Linked DNA regions of Oryzias latipes. The protein of the gene in region 3 purifies or fractionates together with the protein of the main gene of each other region. This does not show direct contact. Links are inferred from orthologs where the notes say so. Each region holds a gene or a part of one and is shown on either strand. Other genes may lie near its edges.

Evidence for each region.
Region 1: the proteins of ap1g1 (region 3) and ap1m2 purify together in Homo sapiens (affinity purification with mass spectrometry; 4 studies listed by BioGRID and IntAct, counting the BioPlex papers as one, with this or other methods). This does not show direct contact. The link is inferred for Oryzias latipes from reciprocal best matches to the Homo sapiens genes AP1G1 and AP1M2.
Region 2: the proteins of ap1g1 (region 3) and ap2m1 purify together in Homo sapiens (affinity purification with mass spectrometry; 3 studies listed by BioGRID and IntAct, counting the BioPlex papers as one, with this or other methods). This does not show direct contact. The link is inferred for Oryzias latipes from reciprocal best matches to the Homo sapiens genes AP1G1 and AP2M1.

What each region holds. Positions count from the first base shown.
Region 1 is NC_019859.2:10,449,645-10,453,851, reverse strand, and holds the start of ap1m2 (AP-1 complex subunit mu-2), read left to right. Parts: upstream 1-1,262; 5' UTR 1,263-1,418; coding exon 1,419-1,460; intron 1,461-4,074; coding exon 4,075-4,207. UniProt on the Homo sapiens protein: Subunit of clathrin-associated adaptor protein complex 1 that plays a role in protein sorting in the trans-Golgi network (TGN) and endosomes.
Region 2 is NC_019875.2:21,534,006-21,538,202, forward strand, and holds the start of ap2m1 (AP-2 complex subunit mu), read left to right. Parts: upstream 1-1,333; 5' UTR 1,334-1,548; intron 1,549-3,858; 5' UTR 3,859-3,906; coding exon 3,907-3,980; intron 3,981-4,197. Other genes in the region: dvl3 (segment polarity protein dishevelled homolog DVL-3), read left to right, coding at 1-6.
Region 3 is NC_019861.2:21,112,548-21,116,198, reverse strand, and holds part of ap1g1 (AP-1 complex subunit gamma-1), read left to right. Parts: intron 1-3,258; 5' UTR 3,259-3,261; coding exon 3,262-3,462; intron 3,463-3,562; coding exon 3,563-3,651. UniProt on the Homo sapiens protein: Subunit of clathrin-associated adaptor protein complex 1 that plays a role in protein sorting in the late-Golgi/trans-Golgi network (TGN) and/or endosomes.

The DNA.
Region 1 (4,207 bases), on a different chromosome or scaffold from region 3:
TGATACATGTCCGACATCACAGTTTTATAAACTTTCCTCTGTTCCACCACCTCAGGGCTGTAGTCTTCATATACTCGGAAAGCCATTTCCTGGTATTTCTAATATTAGCTTTTTATTTGATTAATTCAGCAATATTTTACATTGATTAAAAAAGACTTTTTATTAACTTATCCTTTAATGCTTTAGATTACCCAAAGTGAGCGTTTATTCCTGATACTTGGCGTGGCGTAAAACTATTTTTTTTTCAAGTAATTGCATGCATGCTTTGCTAATTTGTGCACACAAAATGCTCATTTATGTGCACAAAATGGATACAAAATGTTAATTTGTGAACAGAAAATGCTAATTTGTGTTCACAAAATCTAAATTTGTGTTGGCAAAATGCTAATATGTGCGCTGAAAATAATAATTTGTGCCTATATGATACAAAATATGAATTTGTTCACTGAAAAAATACTCATTTGTACCCACCAATTGCAAATTAGGGTACACAAAAAACAAATATGCCTGCATTATATACTATTTTATATCCACAAAATTCTAATTTGTTCCAAAAAAAATTCTAAAAAAAATGTTTATTTGAGTACTAAAAATATTTTTGTGTATTTGTGGCGAATAGTTTAAGGGAGCAAATTTATCATATTTTTTAGATTAAAAAAGATGAAATTGTAAAGAAGCCCCAAACGTAGTTTTTTTTCAAGGTTATATTAGGCAGAGAAGATAACTAAAATTAAATTAAACAAAAAATCAAAAAACAAAAATCAAAACATATCTTTATAACAAGCTTAAGTGTCAAACAAACACCCCCCCCCCCCCAAAAAAAAAATCTTAAATGTCGTTTTAGTTAACTTTTTGTATATTTTTTCCTATATATCTTTTGATATATTTGAAGGATTTTATACACATTTCCAGATTAATGAAAAATAGATTGAAAATGGGGTTTCTTTTCAGGAATCTTTGTTTGGTAGAAGGATTCCAATTGTATCATCTCTAGAGCCACGGGAACTTCTTTAGCTCCAACCAGTTTTGCAGTTATGCATGTAAAATGTTTGTGTTTTGGTACAGACCAACAATAAATGGTCTATTGTGTCATATAAAGAGCATAGTTAAGTCTAAATGTATGAATGACATTCGTCCTGAACAGAGTTGTTGACCTGATTTTCCAACTCTGCTTCGGTGGCGCCCTCTTGTGGTCAAGTTGCTCAGCACAGCCTCTTCGGGTCCACGCGTTCAGGTGAGGTTAATGTTTCACCTGCGTGACCACGTCACGACATTCTCAGAGGTGAAAAAAAAACTGCCTCGGCGGACTGCTCTCCCACTTATGGTTTTCTCTGGGGTTTGATAGCGAAAGGGAAGACGGAACCACCGTAAGCTGAAAGTTGTTTGCTTATTAGTGAAGAGTTGCAGGTTCGAGCACGATGTCCGCCTCAGCTATTTTTGTGTTGGACCTGAAGGGAAAGGTAAAGATCGTCACCGGGGGTTAAGTTATTACTCTCGTTTTAACGGACAACACGCACATTTATGTCTTTATCTATTTATTTATGACATCGAAGCAACTTTTGAACCGACTTCAGGTCATTTTCCTCAGCCATTAAACATTCATGTATTCGTTAAAATGTAATGACGCGCGTGCGTCGGGATCATTATTCATTCACGGCTTCTTTCCACTTCCGGTTTTTAGCGGCTGCTACTCGGTGCGCAGCTGGCGCAGCATCTGCAGGGCGCCTGCGGGTGTGGGTGGGAGCCTCGCAAAGGCTTAAAGAAGATCGAGTGTGTTAAAGGGGGCGTCTGACGCCAAGATCATGAAGGAGTTGTGTGACATGCAATCCTGTCGGAGCGTTTCTCCTGCCTCCTCAGAGACCCGCAGCAGGTTTTCAGTTTTGCTGCTGCGTGTGTGGGGTGGGGGGTGGGGGGCAGGTGTCAAGTTTAGGGCTGCTTTGCATAGTGGAACTGGGAAATGTGAAAGCCATTGTTCTCAAAATAAAAGGAAGCTGCTTTGGTCTGCTTCAAAGTCTGATTTAGCAGTCCTGGACTGCAGGGATCATATCGTTTTCGTGACTCTTCTTCTTTTTACTGCACCTTGGAGCAAAAATGTTGCCCCCGCCACATGCTCATAATCTCCTTAAAATTTACTTGCACCTTGTAAATGCATGTAAATTAATTAATGGGCATAGTAAAGCATTTCCCCCCACCAAAAAAAAAAAGAGATGACAGTGTGCGAAAGTGTCTAATGGGGCCAAAATCTTATTTGAGGCTCAAAAAATATTTCTATATCCACTAACAAAGCACACCTGTGGGGGATACCCAAAGGAAGTTTTGAAAGTATTGTGGGATGGCCACAAGACCTACGACTTGGCGGCCATTATCGCACAATATGAGTAAAAATTTTCACACACCCCACTACAGCTCTGTCCGAATTCCCACCCTAATCCCTAACTACTAAAACACTATATAGTACTGGACTATGTAGTGCCCTGGATTTTAAAAGCAATTCGGACACCATGCTTACTACTTTTCTTTTCTTTTCTTTTCTTTTTTTATGGCGAATATGTTGTCATGGATTTCACGAAGTTAAAATATAATTGAAATGATCGTTTTGTGAATGCACTGTCTTATGAATACAAAAACGTTGATGGTTTATTAAAAAAATACATTTAAATACAATTTTTTTGGGCAAAAATTGTTCCTACGCAACACATTGTTGTCTATATTCACCAATCTAGTGACCATCGATGCACACTGGTTTTTCGCAGAGGCTTCTGTGAAATTCCTAAAGCACTTGATTTTTGTATTGAAGATTCAGACAACACTACAAAATGGTGAACGTACTATATAGTGAACTATATAGTGAGTAGTAAAGGAGTTCGGACACAACCTAAGTCTGCAACTCCACCGAAGTTTCGTTGACCTTTGACCTGTGGCACAGGCCGCCTTCTTGAATTTTCTTTAAAAAAAATCACCTTTTAAAAATAAAAAGTCCTAGAAATTTTCCTATTTTCCTATTTTCATTCTTAACTCCTCAAGCATCATTAGGAAGCCATTTGAAAAATCAAAAAAGTTGATTTTAAAGTTTGTAGATTCTGAACAGCATTAGCATAGTGAGCTTACAAATGTAGAAATTTAATTCAAGAATTTTTGGCTGAACGAAACGACGTAACATACAAAATCAACAAATTAGGAATGTTGACGTGGTTTACAAACAAACAAACAAAAAAACTCAGTTGCCAAGGAAAACCAAAAGTTTACTTTCGCAGATTCTTTTAAATATAACACAGATCTGTTCATCACCCCCAGGCAGACCCAAAAATTATATGGTTGCTATGGAGATAAAACTAACAAAAAAGCCGTCATTCTAAAAAAGGTGTTTTTTCGTAAATTTGCCACGCGCAGCGCTGACCACGGTGGCAAAGGCAGAGGGGATGAGTGAGGGTCATGTAGCAGCTGGTCAGCCACTACGGCGAGCGTGGGAACTGCCTGCAGGCCATGCAATGATGTTTGCAGCCTTTATTTGTGATGTTTTTTTTCAATTTGCTCTTTTTTTTTGGTGTGGGTCAAGATGCCAAAACAGGAAATCAATCTATACAAAAATATGCCATATTCTAAACTAAGTGCATTTGCAGGACTCCATAAGTAGCATGCTTTATGTGTTGCAAAGGTAGAATTATTCCTGTTGCCTCCTTTGTGAGCATATTCTAATGAACAATAGTTTTAAAACTTATGAAGATGTTGTAAAAATATTTCCAGAAAAGTTGCACGCCGATATTTTGAAGTAAAGCTTTTGTAATTGGTCTCCGAGTAGAGACATGAACCCTACTGACCTATGATTCGTGCCCAAGACTTCCCTGAAGAGTTTGAAAAAAGTTTAGGAATCAAAAATACAATTTTGTCCAGCTTCGTCAGCTGGTTGGTCATCTAACAGTTTTTTGCGTTGGCTATTTTTTTTAATGAAAAATAGGTTTACATGATACCAATCAAAGCTTTCCTATCCCACATATTTTATTCCGAACATGGCTTGTCAGACTTGTCTTTTATCCCCAACCGACAGCGTTTTGTGCTTTTCTACTTTCTGCTCAGGTGCTGATATGTCGGAACTACAAAGGCGATGTGGACATGGCAGAAATCGACCACTTCATTCCTTTGCTCATGCAACAGGAAGAGGAAGGCATGATCTGTCCTGTGATAACACGTGGCACCGTGCACTTCATGT
Region 2 (4,197 bases), on a different chromosome or scaffold from region 3:
ATGTGACTGTAGCCTTCTGTTGGAGAAGAAAGTATTAGATTGGACTTTATCAAATAACAAGGCTGAGAAGGACAGCGTGACATTGTGGGAGTGGGAGATTAACAAGTTGGAAACTATGGCCTTGATTTCACTTTCCTTTATAGCAGTCCATTTTTTGCATGCCAAAAGAAAAACCTTCACCTCATTTGTGCTTCTGTTCTTAGTCATTTAGTTATAAGCGTCATACTTTCTTCAGTGAAGAAACAAAGCCTGGAACCAAAGCGCCTTTCACAGCCTCTGCTCCATGCGGGGAGACGTTTTGTGCAAGGACAACAAACAAGAGAACGGAGGGAGGCTTGGAAACGATCTGCTGGGGAAGAGGATGAAGTGCTTTAGCTTCCAGATGTTTTCTAATGTGTTCTGCTGTTTTCTATTTCTTCCAACCTCTCATCTGCCTTCCTGATCTGACACTACATGTCCTCATAGTGTACATCAGAAATGAGAAAAAGAGCCTTTTTCCTCCCTCTCTTGTTTGTGCACCTAAATTCTGACCTCAACCGAAGAAACTGAGCAGAAGTTTAAAAGAACTCAACCTGAGTCAGATCTTTGAATTGTTTAACACAAATGGAAAAAAAGTAGTGCAGGAGAATTTTTTTTTTTGCAGTAATGATGCATTTGTGTTATAATATTCATCATTTTCTAACCCTTAACCTCAGCGTTTAGCTCTATAGTCATTTTTACACAACACCTCAGCTGCTTTACCAGAAAATCATCAACCTGTTTTGTATAGTAGAAAATGTTTCTTATCAGACTTTTCACACTACTCTTTTACTGAGAAAGAAATGTCTTTTTTATTTATAAAGATAGTTTTATGATATATCTGTGTGTTTGTGTGGTGTTTTTGTGCGCACTAAAGAAACTGGTCAGATAAATTCCGTCATTCTGAGATATTTAAGGTCATGATTGCATTTCAAAGCAGTGAATTTAAGACTTCAGGTGAATAAACAAATGATATAATGAAGGTTGAACAAAAGCAGATTTAAAAACATTACACAGAAAAGTACGAATATATTATGAGTGAAAAACTTTTAACTTTTATAATCAACTATATAAATTTATATATTGCTCATTATTTGAGATCAATTTGTTTATAAATTGCAGGCGATTATTGACCAACAATTGTTTTTGACTTAAAATGGTCGAAATCAAAGTAAAAAAATATCTTTGGGTCTTTTTGGTGCGATTGATTGGGAACATTCCTCAAGGCTTGGCCTATCGCTTTATTTTATAAACTAGTTTGAAAATACACATTTCTAACTACATTGGATGAACAGCTCGTGTAGTTTCTCAACTGCTAGGCAGGCCTGGGCGCGGTTAACACCCAGCCATCGTACTGGCCGCGCCTTTTCTTCCTGTCAGCGGAACAGGCGTGCGTAAGGACGGCGAGTCAGCTGACAGTTATCGGGGGACCGGGGCAGCGGGTGTGTGAGCAGAGATTCTGCTCTGCAGACGTTATATTTAAGACCAGGCGGGAAGGGAAAAACTCCTGGTGTTGGTGAGAGGACCAAGGTAAGTTGACAAATTTGTCGTTGTATCCGGAACGAAACGATTAGCTAGAACCCAGTGACTCGCGAAAAGCAGGTCAGCGCTTTCCCCTCTATGCTAACGTTAGCAGCTATTTGCCTAGCTAACGTCAAGCTAGCAGGAGTTAGCCACACGATAACAGAAATGAAGTAATTTCCATTTTGTGGAAACGCTGAAACTGCCGCGTGTGCATGAGATGTTTAAAACACATTTGTCGAACGAGCGACATTGATTGTTTTAACAAACACGTAACCGTTTTGTGTAGAAAACCTGTCAAGTCGCAGAATTGTAGTACTTGTGACCGGATATTCCGTTTGAAAATTCGCCATGCACGACGGTATTTCACTGGAAGCCATCGCCTGCTAACCCGCTATCGCTAGCTAAATTAGCTTAAATTAGCAGTCTGCTTTTACCGAAGAACAAACACTCGGCTGTGTTGCGTCCACGTAACTGTTTAAACAAAACGTTACTGGTAAACTTGGCCCTTGCTTTTCTACAAACATTTGAAATGTATGACTGTATGAAAATGGCCCCAGTGAGTGAGCAGACATCTTGACTTCGCCAGAAAAAAGAGGCGATTAAATCTCTTCAGGTTTTGTGCGGATGGTTAAGTCACGACTTAGCGGTGTTTAAGCGGAAAACATGCTGCTAATCCTGCAGCTAACGTGTCAAGTCTCCCATAGTGTCGGTTTTTCGATGTTTGGATTTTCTGCTCGAGGAATTTGAAATGTCCTTCATGGTTTCCAGAAGGTTCATTCTTATCATCAAGGAGAGAAAAAAGGAGGGACAGAGAGAAATTCCTGTCTCCAGCAGCCCTTAAGTTACTTTTTGTATTTTTTTAAACCTTAAACTGCTACTTCTGTTTTTTTTTTTTTTTTTTTTTTTTTTTTTTATCTAAATTAAATTGATGAGCATTTGTATTCGGCTAAGTGACACATCAAAGACCCACTCCAATTAAAATTGTGTTTTTAACATGTTCTTGACTTGTGGCACTTTTCTGATTATAGAGGACGTACATTAAGAAAATTGAGCTTAAAATTGTGTTTGAGTATTTCTATATTCAAATTGCTGTGAATCAGGAGCAGACGAAAAAACTCCATTGGAAAATGCTCATAGCAGGGAAGTAGGTGCTGCAATCATTGGGCCACAAGCTCTGTACTCCGCTACATTTTGATGCATCCACTTGCAGACTAATAGATCCATCCATGCATGTCTGCATTTTCCTCGCCTGAACTGATATCTGGCTCAACACTGGACAGCTGGACAGCTCCAAAAGTGCTCGCCGTTTTTATTGCTCCAATAATTGGGTTGGAGGTGTGAATAGCTGTAAGCTAGCGGGAGGGCATTAAAACAGATGGATAGAGGCAACTTGGAAACAAACTACCCATAACAGCTCCTAATCTTCTTCTTCTATCTAATATGTCACTGGAGGAAAAGAACTGCCGTTTCATTAGTATGGAGATCCATTGCCTCATCAAGTCAGCGTGTTGGATATGTGTGTGCATCTTTTTGCTTCCTTCGAGTCCGAATGGAAGAAGTGCAGCTGCAGGAATTAGTCAGCTGGCAAAAGGGAAACGAGGATGAGAGAGAAAAGAGGATGTGAGGGACAAATGTGTCTCTGTGTCACCAGCGGTGACTCCCTCACTTTCACTTCTCCTGGCTAATTTTTAATCCTCCATGTCAGTAGTTTTCAGGTAGATACTCAATATGACTATGGATGGAGGCTTAAAACCAACTTTATATTCAAAAAGGATGCATTTTTCTTGTAAAATTACAACTTTGCTCTCATAATTTTACGACTTTGTTCTTGTAAATGTTGATTTTTTTTTTTTGTTGTACTTAATTTTTATTTACTTGTATGGGGCCTTAATATTTTGTTGTAGATATGTACCCCAAAAAGGTACTAGATTTAAATACATGTTTGTATTTTTCAATCATGCATATGAAGATCCCAGCAAAAATGATCACAACAAAAAATGAGATCTTTAACACAAGGTGAATATGTATAAGAAGTAAAACACATTGTGTGGTATTATTCTTTACTACACCAACAATTTTTTCTTCCTTTTTTGATACACAAATCACATTTCTTCATTTAATTTTTATTTTGTATAAATTTAGTGCTTTGTAAAAAAAACTATATTTATAAACTCTGTTTTAAAGATTTTATTGATTCATTGAAGATTTTCCATAAATAAAATATATTCTGAGAGTTACACCTTTGTGAGGGGGGGGGGGGGGGGGGGAAGCTTGGGGACCACTGCCTTCATGTCGTTCCTTTCTGTTTTTTGCCAGGTGGTGTTTGGTTTCATCATGGCAAGGTGTGTTTGAGAGGCAGCCACAATGATTGGAGGACTGTTTATCTACAACCACAAGGGGGAGGTCCTGATCTCCCGTGTCTACCGAGATGACATAGGGTATGTTTGACACGAACTAACCTTCTGTAAGTCTCCTCAAGTTGTGGAAGACTTCAGTTCAATGGAACTATCTGGATCCTGCGTTGGAGGGCTAGCTGGAGTTGATCTCCTCGATGAGAGGATTATGTCACCACATCCAGCTAAAATCATGTCTGCTTGTGCAAGGAAGCTGAGTTAGACGTAAGCCTGGATTAAATCATCCGCTCATATAACATTG
Region 3 (3,651 bases):
AGGTCAGGATATTGCAGGATTTAGTTCTTCAGGGCATTTGGACTTTAAAAGGTTAGTCTGGATGATGTTTCGTTGCTTATCCCTGTAGCTTCTTTAGAAGAGCAGCGACATGTCTTTTAGATGAACCTTTTCAAGTCCATTTGTCCTGCAACTGGACTTGTGTAAAAGTGTTTGAGAGATCAAATAGATTAAAGGTGCAGGGCTCGACATAGCCATTTGTCCGCTGGCCCGGTCCTGTTTTTCGAGCAGTACGGACCACAAGACTTTATTTTTTACTTGTCCGCTCGGGCCACTAAAATATCTAACAATTAATACATTTTTCACCCTTTTCAATAAAGTATATTTTGCGAAAACGTGTAGATTTACCTCGTCTTTATAATTCACTTTTTCTGCTAGTCCTGTGTTCAGACTTCAAGGGTTTCTATGGGAAACCTTTTATCACTCTTCTCCTCTTCTCCCGCCTGCGCGCGCGGCTGTCACTGCCGAGCACCACGCGGCACGCGCTCACTCAATTTTTTTTTCAAACTTTATTGAATGTAACAATTCAATACTAAACAATGTTAAACAGCAACAACGAAGGAACAAGCCAGTGGGTTATTATTACATTTTATGCAGATATATTTAAACTGACACACATATCAGCGCGCGCCCCCTGGTGGTTTTTCACCGCGATGATCATAAATCCAACACCGTCACTGAAGAGAGACTGAAGCATGTCAGAGATGTGGAAGACATGGCAGGAATAGATAGGAATATGTTAGATGGAGTGACGGGTGGAATTAGTGCTATGAACAGCAAGATATTTAATGAATGCATTGAAGATGAAACTGTATGCACTAAGCTTTAAGCTGAATGTCAAAGAATCAAAGGCAACTCCAAATACCTGAATCTCAGACTCAAATGCAGTATAATGTCTAAGTACTTCATTTTGATTTTCTTTACAACACTGTAAGCAGTAAGTATTTCTAGTTAGCTGAATGATCTCAGTAATTTAATTTAGTTTTTCAATTATTTAATTTAATTAACTAAAGTAACTAAAAAGTAAATGTAACTTTGCAACAGTAACAAAAAGCAGAACCTTAAGGCAGTCAGAGCAAAAAAGTCAATAAAACTGCTTAACTATTGATTAGGAACAAATGTGAAATAGCAGTGATTAGAAGCAGCATGAAAACTTCTTAACTAGTGTTAACTACTTCACTGCAGCGCTCTCTTCAAAACATCTGAAACAGACTAGAGCAGATTTAAGTTTAATATGCTCTATTTTTAGTCATTGAAAAGTGTATAAATAAGTGCTAGATGTCACCAGAATGCACCAAATTGCACCATATTAAAATTTTCCGGGGGGGGGGATGCCCCCGGACCCCCCTAAAGTTGCAAGCACCTGCAGAGCGGCGGGTCTCGCTGTGCGCGGTGTCGGGCCAGTAACTTTCAAAAACTACTGGCCCTGTGGGCCAGTGCAAATTTTTGGGCTATGTCAACCCCTGAGGTGTTATGTAAATTGAGTCTTTTTTGGATTTTTAACAATAGCTGCCTCATTACCATCACAATGATGTTAAAATGTTGCCTTAATTTCCCCCTTTTTTAAACTTGTTTTACTTCCTTGTTCACTTGAACATTTCTGTGGTTCTTGTTTTCTAACAATACTGTAGTCACCACTTTTTAATTTCTAAATATTGAAAGTCTTACCTGCGATTGGGATGGTGTATTTTTACAAGACTTTTTGCACCAAAAGGAAAAAAAAAACATGCATACTATGCAGGACAAAAGTAATCATTAGTCATGTCATATGACCTACTGGAAAAAGTGAACACTGACCTCTGCTAGTAAAAGTCACTTGCAACTAGAGCTGGGCGATAATAAAATGCAATAAAATCTAAGATTTTTTTCATTACAAATTTAATTTTCTATTTTAATCGAAAAAATTTTCTCTGCTTTTACGTTCTTTAACTAAAATGACAGATGGGAGATATTTAACAAAAACTTTTATTTTAAAATCTCCTTTGGAATTTGGCTCTAACACAAAGTTCAGCTAAACACAAAGCTGTAAAAATGTTTGCAGATCAATGCAGCAGATGTTTTGTGAGCTGCCGCTGGCTTGTGCATCACTAGAATGCACTCGGCAGAGCATTTTTGGTAGAAACGGCCTTGAAACGGATATAGCTGTGTTTGATGCTCCAAGTTTGAAGTTACAACCCCAGTGACCAAAATCTCATTTTTGACTCATCAGACAAGTTGGCTGGTAGATAATGAAAAAATCTATCAACCAAATTATTCCATTATTTTGCAAAAAAAATAATTATAGGTGTTGTTTAAAAGAAAATTGATATTACCTTTAATGTGACCAGAGAGCAAGTCACAACGTAATGAAAACATCAGATAAAAATAACATTTTTTTCCTAAGGATTTCCTGTATTGATTTTGTAATCAATCTTTGCTCTCTGCTTATGAAATATTTTATTTTTAATCATAAATTAGTTGTTTCTGTTTTCTTGCTCTCCCCATGAGAAGAGGGGTTTTAGTCAGTCACCTGTAGTCTGAACCAAATGTAAAGTCAGATTCAGACCTGCTTAGAAAACAAGGACAGATTTACTAAAGGGGAGCAGATTTACAGAAAAATCACCCTTTTCCCTTATCTTGTTGTTCCCCTAAATAAATAGTCTAAAACAACACATTTGAATTAATTGATTAAATCTATGAATCACACAGCCCTGCTTTGTACATGTGTATAGATGGACAAATGCAGTTCGATATGTTAATCTCTGATGATATTATTTTAGTGCTTTAGAATAAATTGTAAAAAGATATTTATTTTTCTGACGTGCTGCTTTACTCTGCAGCCCAACTTATCTTTCTTCTTACTAAACACTGCTGCTGTTCTCCGGATGTCTTAGTATGAAACCAAAAGTGTTGTTGCAGTTGTGCGCCAACATTTCATAGTAGTTTACCTGAATCATAAATACAAACATTACCCATTACTTGTTTACTTCAAAAACATTGCAACTTGTCCATGCTCTTTATTTTGAACTGGGTTTGTCACAGTTAAAGTTGACAGAAGTCTGTTCCATTTAGACCTTAGCTATGTTCTAAGACAATAATGTAATGTTTACTGTTTTTTTATTTGGCGGTCAATACATATCTATGCCAAAAAATGTTGAAATTAAACCTATAAAAAGAGGATTTGTCTAATGCCCTGCATCTTATGTCATCTAGCCTTTAACCATGAGGTGCCTCTTATCTTTTTTTGTGTGTGTTTGGCAGAACATGCCAGCTCCGATCAGACTGCGGGAGCTGATCCGAACCATCCGGACAGCACGGACCCAGGCAGAGGAGCGCGAGATGATCCAGAAGGAGTGTGCTGCTATTCGCTCTTCTTTTAGAGAGGAAGACAATACGTATCGTTGCAGAAATGTGGCAAAGCTGCTGTATATGCATATGTTGGGCTACCCAGCACACTTTGGACAGGTGTGTAAGATAAAGGCAGCAGAGGAACTGAGAGGGGCAGCTTTTTAGGTACCGCTGGGTTTTCTGAACATGTTCTGTCATTTGTTTGTTTGTCTTTTAGCTGGAGTGTCTGAAGTTAATTGCGTCTCAGAAGTTCACAGACAAACGAATAGGCTATTTGGGAGCTATGCTGCTGTTAGATGAAAGACA